Caenorhabditis elegans: one gene and its partners. The protein of the gene in region 2 interacts with the protein of the main gene of each other region in a pairwise test. Each region holds a gene or a part of one and is shown on either strand. Other genes may lie near its edges. The genes, in order: ceh-54, nhr-91 and ztf-26.

Region 1 (3,758 bases), 9.1 Mb from region 2:
CCCAAAACTGGAGGCCAATTATTTATTTGTTTAATACATGTTATTTTTTTAAAACACAATATTTCAAATAAGTACATTCCCAATTGTCAAAACTGAAACATTATTTTATAAACAACATGAAAAATATTAATTTTAAACGTAACTGATTTTTTTTGGTTTGTGAATGACGTTCTTTTCGGCATTTAATAACGTTTTTATGTTTTCAAATATAAATAGCTTTGCAAAAAAAACTCCAAATAATTTTTAGAATTTTGAGTTAAAAAAAAATTGAAACAGCTTTTCTTCGATTTCGGAAAAAAATACTTCGATTACACCACTGTCTTGCATACTTTTGGTTATTTGCCTTCTTGATGAACTTGATACATTTTCAGCCAATAATTTTCATATTTCAAACCGGAAAAGGAATGTGATTAAATAAAAATCAATTTCCGGCAGAGTATGACAAAATAGATGATTTTAGCAATCCTTACCACTTTTTTATTTTTCTGAAACCAAAAATTCAAAAAAATTTTCACGCGTCTTCAATTTTTTCCACTGAAAATTAATCTTGAAATAACTCTAAAAATTATGTTAAAATCTATAATGTGAAATTTAATATCTCAAAGTCTGTTTGAATTATGTAGTGCAATAAAAAAGCTTGCAACTCTACCATTTCGTTAAAAATATTCTTAATTGAACGCTTATTCTGTGCTTTTAAAATCTGATTTTAAATGTTATACATTTTGATTTTCAGATTTTGAAAAAAAAACTATTTTAGTATCAATTTTTTATTTCTCATTTGTCAGAGTTATTTTGAATAAGACAACGCAATACTTATTTTGTTGTGCAACATAAATAAGTATTTTAGTTTTTCTGGCGGTAAATAATTAATTTCAGGGAATACTTTTAATAGGCCACATTATCAATGGCTTCACTTCTGTTCATAGAATTTTCTAATGGGCGCTTGGTTTCACCAGAAACTAAAGGACTATTTCCTGTTTTCCCGCAATAGCCTAATTCCATCAAGCTCTTGCTCGTATATGCTCAACTTGAAATCTAATAAGCATATTCATCCACTTTCATAAATCATTACTCTGCTCATCAGCGTGGAGATTATGCTAATCGTCAAGGTTCATCGGATTGACATTTACTGCGGGAAAACCATTATGAAGACTAAAATGGAAACATCCGTGTTCTCTTTCCTCTTTTTTCACAGATCTTATAACCTTTGTAATTTAATCTGCAGTAAGCGCGAGACAATGAACATCCGAAAGTCGTTGTCGTCAAACTATAGCTTTAGTATGAAAATATAATATTTCGAATTTTTTGACTACATTATTACGAACACGTCCTAGTTCTGATCACACCTGTCACAGAGTGAATTCAGGTTAGAAACTACTTGCCTCGTGCCACTATTAGTACAAATTACCCCTTTTTGTTTCTCTATATGCTCTGAGATTTGCATGATATCTTCTGGTTTCAGTATAATTTTCAGCCAGATTCTTGAGCAAACCAGATTGGTATTATATACTGATGAATTTTTGCCATTTTTTAAAAGTATAAGATTTCCAGTGTTTTTTGAAAATTTTGTTTTTAAATGAAAATGTTTTTGAATAATCATTTGATTTTGTACAATATATATCAGCATCTCTTTATTAAAACAGATTAGAATTTCATAATATCTCGACAACTACTTCCGATGCTCACTCTTTTCGTGTGTTTTTGCTGTTCCGGAAACAGAAAGTTTCCGCTCACTTTGAATAAGCGCATTATCTATACTATTGGTGATAGGGAGATTACATAACACAGGATACGCCGTTGACGCCATTACACCTTGAAATAACATTATTGATCCCGTAATCCCACTATAAGCCTATATTTTTCTGACTTTTAGTTGACATTTTATTGTATGTAAATTTGTACGTAATAGACTTAAGGCGATCTTTTTGGTTTTTTTGGAGGATTAACTTTTTAATGAAATTTGTAATTTTATCTATTTGCTAAAAATCTAATAATTTTCAGTTTGTTCTTCTATTAATATTTGAAAATCAAAATTTTACAAATGGAGCAACTTAAGGTACGTTCTCACACCTTTATCAATAATTTTAAAGGTCAAGTATAGTCTGCGGGGAAATTATGAAAACTCATTTCTATAATGCTCGGTAGGCGTATGCGCACATTCCGCGCACTTTCCGCGCACATTCAGCGCACATTGCCCTTGGCGTGGCCATTTTCTCCACCGCTAGCCGTTTGAGCACTTTCCGCGCAGATTCTGGGCACATTGGTTTTGGTGTGTTTTTTCATCCAGAAATCATGCATTCTGAGCACATTCAGCGCACTTTCCGCGCACATTCAGTGCACATTGCCTTCGATGTGGCCATTTTCCCCACCATTAGTCTTTTGCGCATATTCCGCGCAACTTCCGCGCCGATTCTGCGCACATTGACTTAGATAATCTACAACTAATGCTCAATTTCTGCTTTCTAAATTATTATAGCATTGTTTAAATTTTATGTCCGAGTCTATATTTAATAGTATTTCTGATATTTGAAAATTAGAGCCAAGAGAAATGGTTTTAATAGTTCTCATTCAAAAACAAATCCGCGTATTGTTTCCAACCAAAAATTCATCAATAACGTTGTGAAACATTCATAGTTCGTTTTGAAATGATGCACATTCTCGACAGAAATAGTTGTAAAATACCAACAACGTCACTGTAGAGTTGAAATATGTTTTCAGAAATATTATATTTGGGTTAACAGGTTGTAAATATACGCCGTCTATCGTTATTGATTTACAACTGCATAATGTCCCACATTTTAAAAGTCAAAATTGTGATTCAAATTAAAAACTATATATCTAGATATGTGCTTACTATTATAGTTAGGGGGAAAATGTATACTGGAGAAGAAAGCGTTCAAATGTTTTCCCAGGAGTCAAATTGAAGAGGTTGTGAAGTTTTACAATCACACAAAGTCTCTTTTTGACCTGATTGAAAAATCAATTGTCATGTAGCTGTTGTAAAACTGAATTATCTGTGAATCTCTGGAAAGAATTCTAGAACAAAAAGTTCACTTAATTAGAGACTTCTAAATTACCATGAAAGTATAAAAATGCGCTGACATGATTTCTCTCTAGTAAAATAATCACATTAACGCTTAAAAACGGAAAAATACTTAATTCACATTTTTCCATAAATATGTGATTGAAAAACAAGTTCAAAAGCCAATGAGAAATCCTTTATTATTGAATTACTGTGCCAAAAATGCTTTATCGTTAGTTCTATGTTTCTCCATTGACTTTCTCATTTGCTTATATTTATGGCGCGTTAACTGCTATTAACATCGCATGCGTTATGTCTCAACAGGTAAGACTTCAGACTTTCAGGGAAAACATCACAGGTTCAATTCGCAGCAAGGACACTGGCAATCAAAATACACTGCAAGCGAAAGGCAGTGAAACACCACCACTCTGCATCATGAGCACATTCCGCGCACATTGCGTTTTGGTGTTCCTCATTTTTTAACTGCCCTGCATTATGCGCACATTCCGCGCACATTCTGAGCAGATTCCGCGCACATTCCGAGCGGATTAAAAACAAATGTATTAAACCGCTCGGAAAGTGCGCGGTATGTGCGCATACGCCTACCGAGTGGAAAAAGGACTAAACTTCATGCAAATATTTTAGACAAAAATTTTGGAAATGTTTTATTTCGACTCAAAAAGTGGGGAAAACTGGGTCAGTGCATTTTGTCGCGAAATCTGAAGCACTGTCGCTT
Region 2 (3,758 bases):
TGAGATCGTCCAGTGAAAGGAAATGGAGACAAGAAGAGGCGCCGGTGGAAGGCAGGGGCAATAGGAGGAGAGACCTACTGTCACTCTCGTTTGACCGGCAATAGGCCCGATTGAATGTACGCGGTTTTCACGAATTTCAAGGTCTGACCCACAAAATTTCGTTCGCCCTCCATGCATCTTTCACCCAATTTTGCTTTTGCGCCAATATCCGCGCGCTGTCCCCCCCCCCCCCCCTCCCTCCATCCTTCATCCATTCCGGCTTACCATCGTCTCTCTCTCGATTGTTGTGTGAATGTGTGTGTGACCTACCGACCTACAGTTTAACTTTCTCACTTTGTACTTTCTTGAATTATCCTCCTCTCCTCCTCAACCGCCTTGCGTTTCGTTTTTCTTTCTCGCATTTTCATTTTTGTTCGATTAGTATCCTGGTTACTGGATCAGCGATGTAGCAACAATGTGTTACAAGTTTTGAAACTAGCAAACTAGTTGAAAAAGTCTGGTCGATAGCTTATCACTTTTATGATTAACATGTTTCATTTATTTTCTATATCTGTTGCATTTCCGCCATCGTTGAGAATCGCTATTTTTCTAGAAACTAACTCAATAACTGTCAAAATGATGATTACCACGTTTTTTAGGCTCAAACCAAACCGGTATGTACTATTTCGGACAATAGAAAAACTGTATCACTTTGGAATAATTTTTTTTTAAACCTCACTGTATATTCCTTTGTAACAACTATTTGTATACAGCAGATATATAGGTTTGGTTTCAAGATATTAATAATATGATTAGTTTCAATACTATAGGAACATAAGTTTGATAAGCTTTTTCTCTATTTTCAAATTGAGCAAATTCTTGCAAATAACCGTAAAGTATCTTGCAAGTTAAATTGGTAAAATCTGTTTTTCTGTTCATGGAATGTTTAGGAACAATAATTGATTCTTTTTAATTGTAGCAAAACTGATTTGTCAAACAAGTAACTTTTTAATGTTAAAAACTCTATTGTTATTTTTATTCTCATAAACCTACCACTACAGTTTTGTACCTTCTCAACCCACCCGGCAACGGCTCTCAGTACCAGGCGGTGACGTCCAAATGCTGCCATTTGGCTCTCAACGAGCTCCGCCGCCAAATGCGTGACCTTGAAAATTGGTAGACGAACCCCCCCCCCCCCCCTTCCACCGTCCCGTCATTTGAAATGCTCTTTTGCACACTCTGATCTCACTTCGATAAACTCGACCGGCCCTACCATCCGCGCTTTTTGTACACTGCGATTCTGACTCAGAAGTGAGGAAGATTTTGTACCTCTTTCGAACACACAATTTTACTTTTTTTTTGCTTCAAAACAACTATACAATTATTCTGACTTTGTTCGGTCTTGATAATACATTTATTCACACGAGGGAGCTCATTTCCTATCTTCTTTTCCGTTCTGATTACTATACAATCGCTCAAAAACTGGGTAACAAAAATATTATCGCATTTTCACGACATCTACAAGTCTAAACCAATTGTTCTTCTTTGCTCCCCCTCCCATTTACATACCCCATTATACTGTCCCTACCGTATGTTGCCTGCTCCATCTGCATACATTAATGACCTCTGATTAATGAGCCTCTTTCAGTGCGATGGACGTTGCGGACTCGACATCTGAGACGCCACCTGTTTTTGACCATGACAACTTGGCTCTCGCGGCACAGACCAACTTGTTGCAGTTCTACCTGACACATTTGGCATCCACACTGGTGCCGCCAATGAAATTGGATATGAGAGACTCGATGACTCCAAGGTAATTGCATTTTCCTGAAGATGTGGAGAGCTTAGTTTCAAAATTTTAAATTTTCAGCTTCAGTCAAACCGAAAGCCCAAACTCTGAAACCGACGACTCCACTTCTGCAGCAAACAAAGTTCTATTCTCTATTCTTGGAACTCCAACAACAGACAGTACTTCGGTATGCGAACTGAATGAAAATTATTGAAATTATGTAGTAGAACAATTACAGAATGCCGTTTCAAAATCCAGCAGCAAGCTGTGCTCGGTATGTGGTGACAAGTCAACCGGTCTACATTACGGTGCTGCCACCTGTGAAGGGTATGTGCATTTAGATATTAAAAATACGGAGGGGGGGGGGGGAAGTTCATACTTCGAGCAACAACAAAAAACTTTTTTCATGTATTTTGAAATTTACGCAGTTTCTGCTGTTTTCTGACCTCTGTTTTGAATTGTGGTACTTCCAATTAAGACATTGATGTTAATAGGATGCCATATAATACTATTTCAGCACTACATAATTAACCAAATTTTTTGTTTCAAAATATACATCTGGAATTATCTTTCAATCTGTATCTCTGTAATTAATTAATTAGGCAAGTGTTTTTACTGTTTGATGCTTTGAAATAGTGATGCTTTGAAAATTACTCTAATATAAATATCCATGCCGATTTCATAATTTAATTTAGTTTCACTTCACTTTCTTCCCTTTGCTTATATCTTGTTTTCTATCGAAAGTTTTCATATTGTTATTTTTCTTTTCCCGGGTGGTCAGAAATCTGTTCCGCTCGCCCTCTTCCAGGATCAACATAAAAACTGTCTGGAGAGAAGAAGGGGGAGAGCTATTAACGGAATTAGTGATCGGATCGGGAAAGCGAAAGTGGTGGTGGGGGGCACCACACCAGTGAAAGTCCAGTTGTCAGCACCAGTGCGCTACATTTTCATCCGATGCTGGGGAGGGGATGCTGACGCCGTCGCCGCCGTCGTCGTCAACGTAGACACACGTCCGCCTCGGGTGCTGGAGGGGGGGGGGGGCAGTCAGATTTTGCGGCCTTCAGAATCCGCGATGATGGTCAAGGCCTTCAGCATGACACGACGCACCGCCGAACACCCAGTCAGTGAAATGTTGCGAAGGGCGACGGCCGGCCAAATGTGTCACGCACCTCGACCATTCGTTTCTCACTACAGCGCCCTTCTCGCCTCCCGGTTGACCCTCGGTTTGGAAGGAGGTGAAGTCGGTAGTGGAAGTGCACTTTGAATCGGTTTAGACGGTTTTCTCTAGGTCACACGCACCATAAGAACTTGTTTCTTTTTTTTTCAATGTGTTACTATAAAAGTGATACTATCTGAATAAACCCTAAATCATAAACCCTTAAAAAAATATTTTTTTAACTCACAATTTTTCCATTTACAGCATAAACGTTCCCAAAATTATAGGCGCTCATTGTAAATATTTCATCTCAGCTTGCTGTAAATATTTCTATTTGACTGTACTGTTGTAAAGAACTGTGATTTTTAGTTGATGTCCGTCGAAATAATTATCTGAATAAAAAAAAACGCAATTGACCCGCACTTACGATAACAATCAAGCTATTTCACAAAAACGGGAGAGCTGCGAAAGTTCCCCCGAAAGTTCAGAACGGCCTTCCTAAGATAACAATCAGTGTACCACACCGTACTCAAAGTACAGAGGACACTCGGATAACGATCAAAGTAGGTTTCAGTAATCGACAGCTCAGTTAGAGAAAGTTCAAGTAATACATATTAGTCTATATCATTATCAATCGGACATATTGTCTCTCCGGAAAAAAATGTCGGAGGTCGACAAGGTTTTGTTAGGGAATCGCGTCGGACAAGGTCGGTTCAACTGGTGCCATTTGCGTACCTCTTCTCGTCACCTCTACTTTTCGGGGCCGCTCCTCCCCATCTTACTCGCTGCCCCACCTCTCATTTCTGATGACCACGACCCAATTTAAAGTGATTT
Region 3 (3,758 bases), on a different chromosome or scaffold from region 2:
AAATTGAAAACTACGAAAATGTTCCCGGCAGTACAATAGTTTGCAGAATACTCGCAATTTACTATCATCTAGAGGGTTTCCCTCTCAACCATGAGCTGAGCCATTAAGATCCAAAGTGTTGTAAACCTATTCTTCTCCCCCTATCACTTTTTCCAACATCCCCCACTCTCTCTCTCTCTCTCTCTCTTTCACAAAACTTCCCCCTTGCACCATCAATCATTTTCCTAGATCCTAGAATATCAAGAATAAGATGCCAGTGTTTCTGATTTGCATATGTAAGAAGTTTCACACGGCTTGGTACTGTAGCAGCCGAAAAAGTTTGAAGAATTTTTCGTATAAGAAAACACTTCCAGACAAAATTGTAAGTAATGCAATTATGGCAAAGGTGGAACTGTATTTATAAACATTGTAGATTCATATTCAAGCTGTTACCGGGTTCCAGAAAAATGTCGAATCATCGATTTTTTTAAATTATGACAATTATTAAAATTTTTCCGATCTTCAACATTTTTGGCGTTACATGAATTCAGTACTGACACAACGTTGTAAATTTACATATTTAGGCATGGGTATATTTACCCGTACAAGCACCAATTGGGTAGAATACCAATAAAAGGAAAGTTGTTGAAATTAATTAATATTATTATCGCCAAATTTTCAAAATTGTGTTTCTAATTTCATATTCCCTTCTTGATTCTTTTAACTGAATTTTCACATATATTCCAAATCACTCACATTTTCCAGTTTCATTAGCTCTTCGAACTTCCGCAAGACTCGCATCGATGTCTTTGATAAAATCACGAACTGGATAATCCTTATGATGATTTTTGATATGTACTCTTGCATTATCCCGTCGGGAATGAATTTTCAGACAATACGGACAGACACATGCTGAAAATTTACAAATGTTTTTTAAGCGCTTTACTGAACAAAATTGAAGCTGATTTTGAGCTGATTTTTGAAGAGTTTCAGAAACAACCTGCAAATAAGCTTTAACGAGAATCAAACTTTTCAAATTCCAAATTAAAATATTCGTTGGCTCCCCGAAGAATTTGCAGCACTTTTTTCAGTTAAGAAAACGATCAAACATTCTTACACATTTAACATGAAACAACTGCCGAGTTTTTTTTACCTCTAGCGAGATCTTCACTTGACAGTACCCAATTGATAATCTCTGATCTTGATCGACTTATGAAATCTTCTCTCGCTGAAATTATGACGACATTATATTCTTTTCAATTCTTGAAAATTTCGTATTGTGATATATTCTTCCCAAGAGGAATCCTCCAATGCACTATAGTTATTTCATCCTAAAAAAGCTTCAAAATCATCTTCCAAATGAAAAGTTCATATGCACTATTCTTTTTTGAAACAGCAAAGTCATGAGAAAATTTATTAGTCAGAGCCTAATTTCCGGTTACTTACGTGTTTAAATTGGACCAACAAGGAATTAGTTTCTGATTGTGAAAGAAAAATAATCAACTAACATCTTTTAAAAATCTTCTTTGAATCTTTTTGAATCTCTTCGCCAGGGGTATTTCTTAAATAAGGTCTTCCAAATCCTGAACTGATTCTAGCAATAAATTCCGGTGTCAATGGCCCAATGCCGTCATCATCAATGTGTGGAAAACCGTCAGAGGACATCTGAAAGTTTATAAAACATCCTAAACTTTGAACATTATTATTGTCGAGACGGAAAAATGTGTTCAAAATATTGTTTAAGTTTGAGAAACTTATAGTTAAGTTGAACCAACCAAATCCATAAATCGTAAAAATCGTAGAAAGTTTGTGCCCGCGTCTAAAGATTGGACTGTGCAATGTCCCCTCAGATTTTCTACATAGCGCTATCTAAATTTGATAAAATCGTGTGAAAATTGAGAATAAAGTTTTTTGAGTATGCTGATTATGAATATACAATTGTTTTCCGTGTCACAGTTTTTCGATCTTTGATGTATCAAAAATTAAGGGGATCTTGGACGTGCACACTGTACTTGAAATGTTGAAGGTATACGGTAGCATAGATCCTATCCTACTCTTTCAGAGAGTAAACGTCAAAGCCTTTGGTAAACAGAAAATCGAAAAAGTAACTGAATTATAAATCTTCTCTAATCAAAATTTCTTCAAATTTAGTTTTCCTAAACACCAAAAAACGGCTGTGCGGGGCAACCAGGGCAACCAAATAGGAAAAAATCAGGGGCGCAGAGAGAAGAGATGTGAATAAGGGAAAAAGAGGACTAAACCAAGTGGCAGCTATGACAGCCGAGTGTCTCTCTCTATTTCTCTCCATATCTTTTCCTACTTTTCACTAGAACGTCGCAAGACTCCGCCCATTTTGCCTGAACCCCTTGCACTTATTATCTAGGCATTGAGATATGTTTCTGATAAACGTTGTTGAATGGAAAATGAAAAGTACATAATGACTGAAATAATAAAGAAACTCTTGGCGAACTGATTTGAATTTCAATGTATTTCCCTGAAATGTTGAAGTGGCTTACTAGGGAACCGTCACAAGGTGCCTATTGGAGTTGCATATGAGACCTATGTCATTCGATAGCCCATGTCTTAAAACGGTTACTCGTAAATTTTTAGCTGCGAAACTCTAGAAACAAGCTCACGACGTGCTCTCAACGATCCTAAAATAGTACTATAGCAAGGCGAATTTTTCATTTTTCGTTCAAATAAAATAAAAAAAAGTTTCTTCAAAAACAATTAAATACCAATAAAATGTTGGTATATAATGTTTTTTCACAATTTTGAAGGTGAAACAATCATTTTTGCTGAAATTGGAACGAATTGTTGCTTGCACATGCTCTTACAGAGCACAACTTTGACAGCTCCAATCTTGTTGCACAAGGAAGATTTCAAAAAGCTATCAACTGCAAATCTATGAAGCACATTAAGAACAACATTTTGTTAGTTAAAAATTTGTTTTTATCTAAAAGAACTGGGGAACTAGAGCAGTTTTCGTTAAGTGCGCTTTCCCACTAAATTTTGATTGATTCCCACTCTGAAATTCTGAGAACACAAAATTTGCAACAAAATGGCTACGGGGATTTTCAAAAAAATTAGTTTGAAGCCAGATATTAATTTTCAAAGTTTGGAAAATGTACTAATTTTGCATATAAATGGTCAATTCCATTTAATCTCAAAATGTGCTCTAAAAGGTATGACTCAAAATTCCCTTTTTTGTCTTGAACTCGGCGGTTATTGAAGTTTTTAGAATACCATTTTCATGGCTAAAAAGCGAATGTGGTAAAAAAAATCACCGTCTAATTTTGGGTATAAAGTTAATTATCTAGCGTTTTCAACTCGATTTAGGTATTTTGAATTCTGTGGACGAAGAGATTTGGTGAAACGTTTTAAAACAAATTTTGAGTCTAATAAAGCAATAAAAAATTTGACTACAACACTCCTGTAATCCCAAATTATGCCCCAAAAGGTTAATGGTTTTTGTGTCGTTGTAAATTTGGGTAAGAGTTTGGTAAAAGTTGGGTCAAAGTTTGGTTACTTTTTGGCGCAACCGAATTCTACGTTCGATTGTTATATAGATTATTTAGGCGTAAATCCAAAAACTAAAATGATTTTTGTTTTCATTTCATGTCACCTTTTTTACCGATTTTTCTCATTGAGACCCGAAGAACTCGGGGGATGTCCAATTGGGGGGATTACCAACTCGGGGGATTGGCCCCGCCCACAGAACCGTGGCTTGCAATACGCCCATTTCTGCAACTGCCGCACGGTTTTAAAACTGTATTTTT

Evidence for each region.
Region 1: the proteins of nhr-91 (region 2) and ceh-54 interact in a two-hybrid assay, tested with the Caenorhabditis elegans proteins (one large-scale study listed by BioGRID).
Region 3: the proteins of nhr-91 (region 2) and ztf-26 interact in a two-hybrid assay, tested with the Caenorhabditis elegans proteins (one large-scale study listed by BioGRID).

What each region holds. Positions count from the first base shown.
Region 1 is NC_003284.9:6,192,525-6,196,282, reverse strand, and holds the start of ceh-54 (Homeobox domain-containing protein), read left to right. Parts: upstream 1-2,041; coding exon 2,042-2,056; intron 2,057-3,758.
Region 2 is NC_003284.9:15,307,748-15,311,505, forward strand, and holds the start of nhr-91 (Nuclear hormone receptor family member nhr-91), read left to right. Parts: upstream 1-1,627; 5' UTR 1,628-1,631; coding exon 1,632-1,792; intron 1,793-1,849; coding exon 1,850-1,955; intron 1,956-2,006; coding exon 2,007-2,095; intron 2,096-2,652; exon of another isoform or gene 2,653-2,946; intron 2,947-3,621; exon of another isoform or gene 3,622-3,756; intron 3,757-3,758. UniProt on the Caenorhabditis elegans protein: Orphan nuclear receptor.
Region 3 is NC_003279.8:8,859,629-8,863,386, forward strand, and holds the start of ztf-26 (C2H2-type domain-containing protein), read right to left. Parts: upstream 1,651-3,758; 5' UTR 1,645-1,650; coding exon 1,488-1,644; intron 1,311-1,487; exon of another isoform or gene 1,208-1,310; coding exon 1,133-1,207; intron 892-1,132; coding exon 736-891; intron 1-735.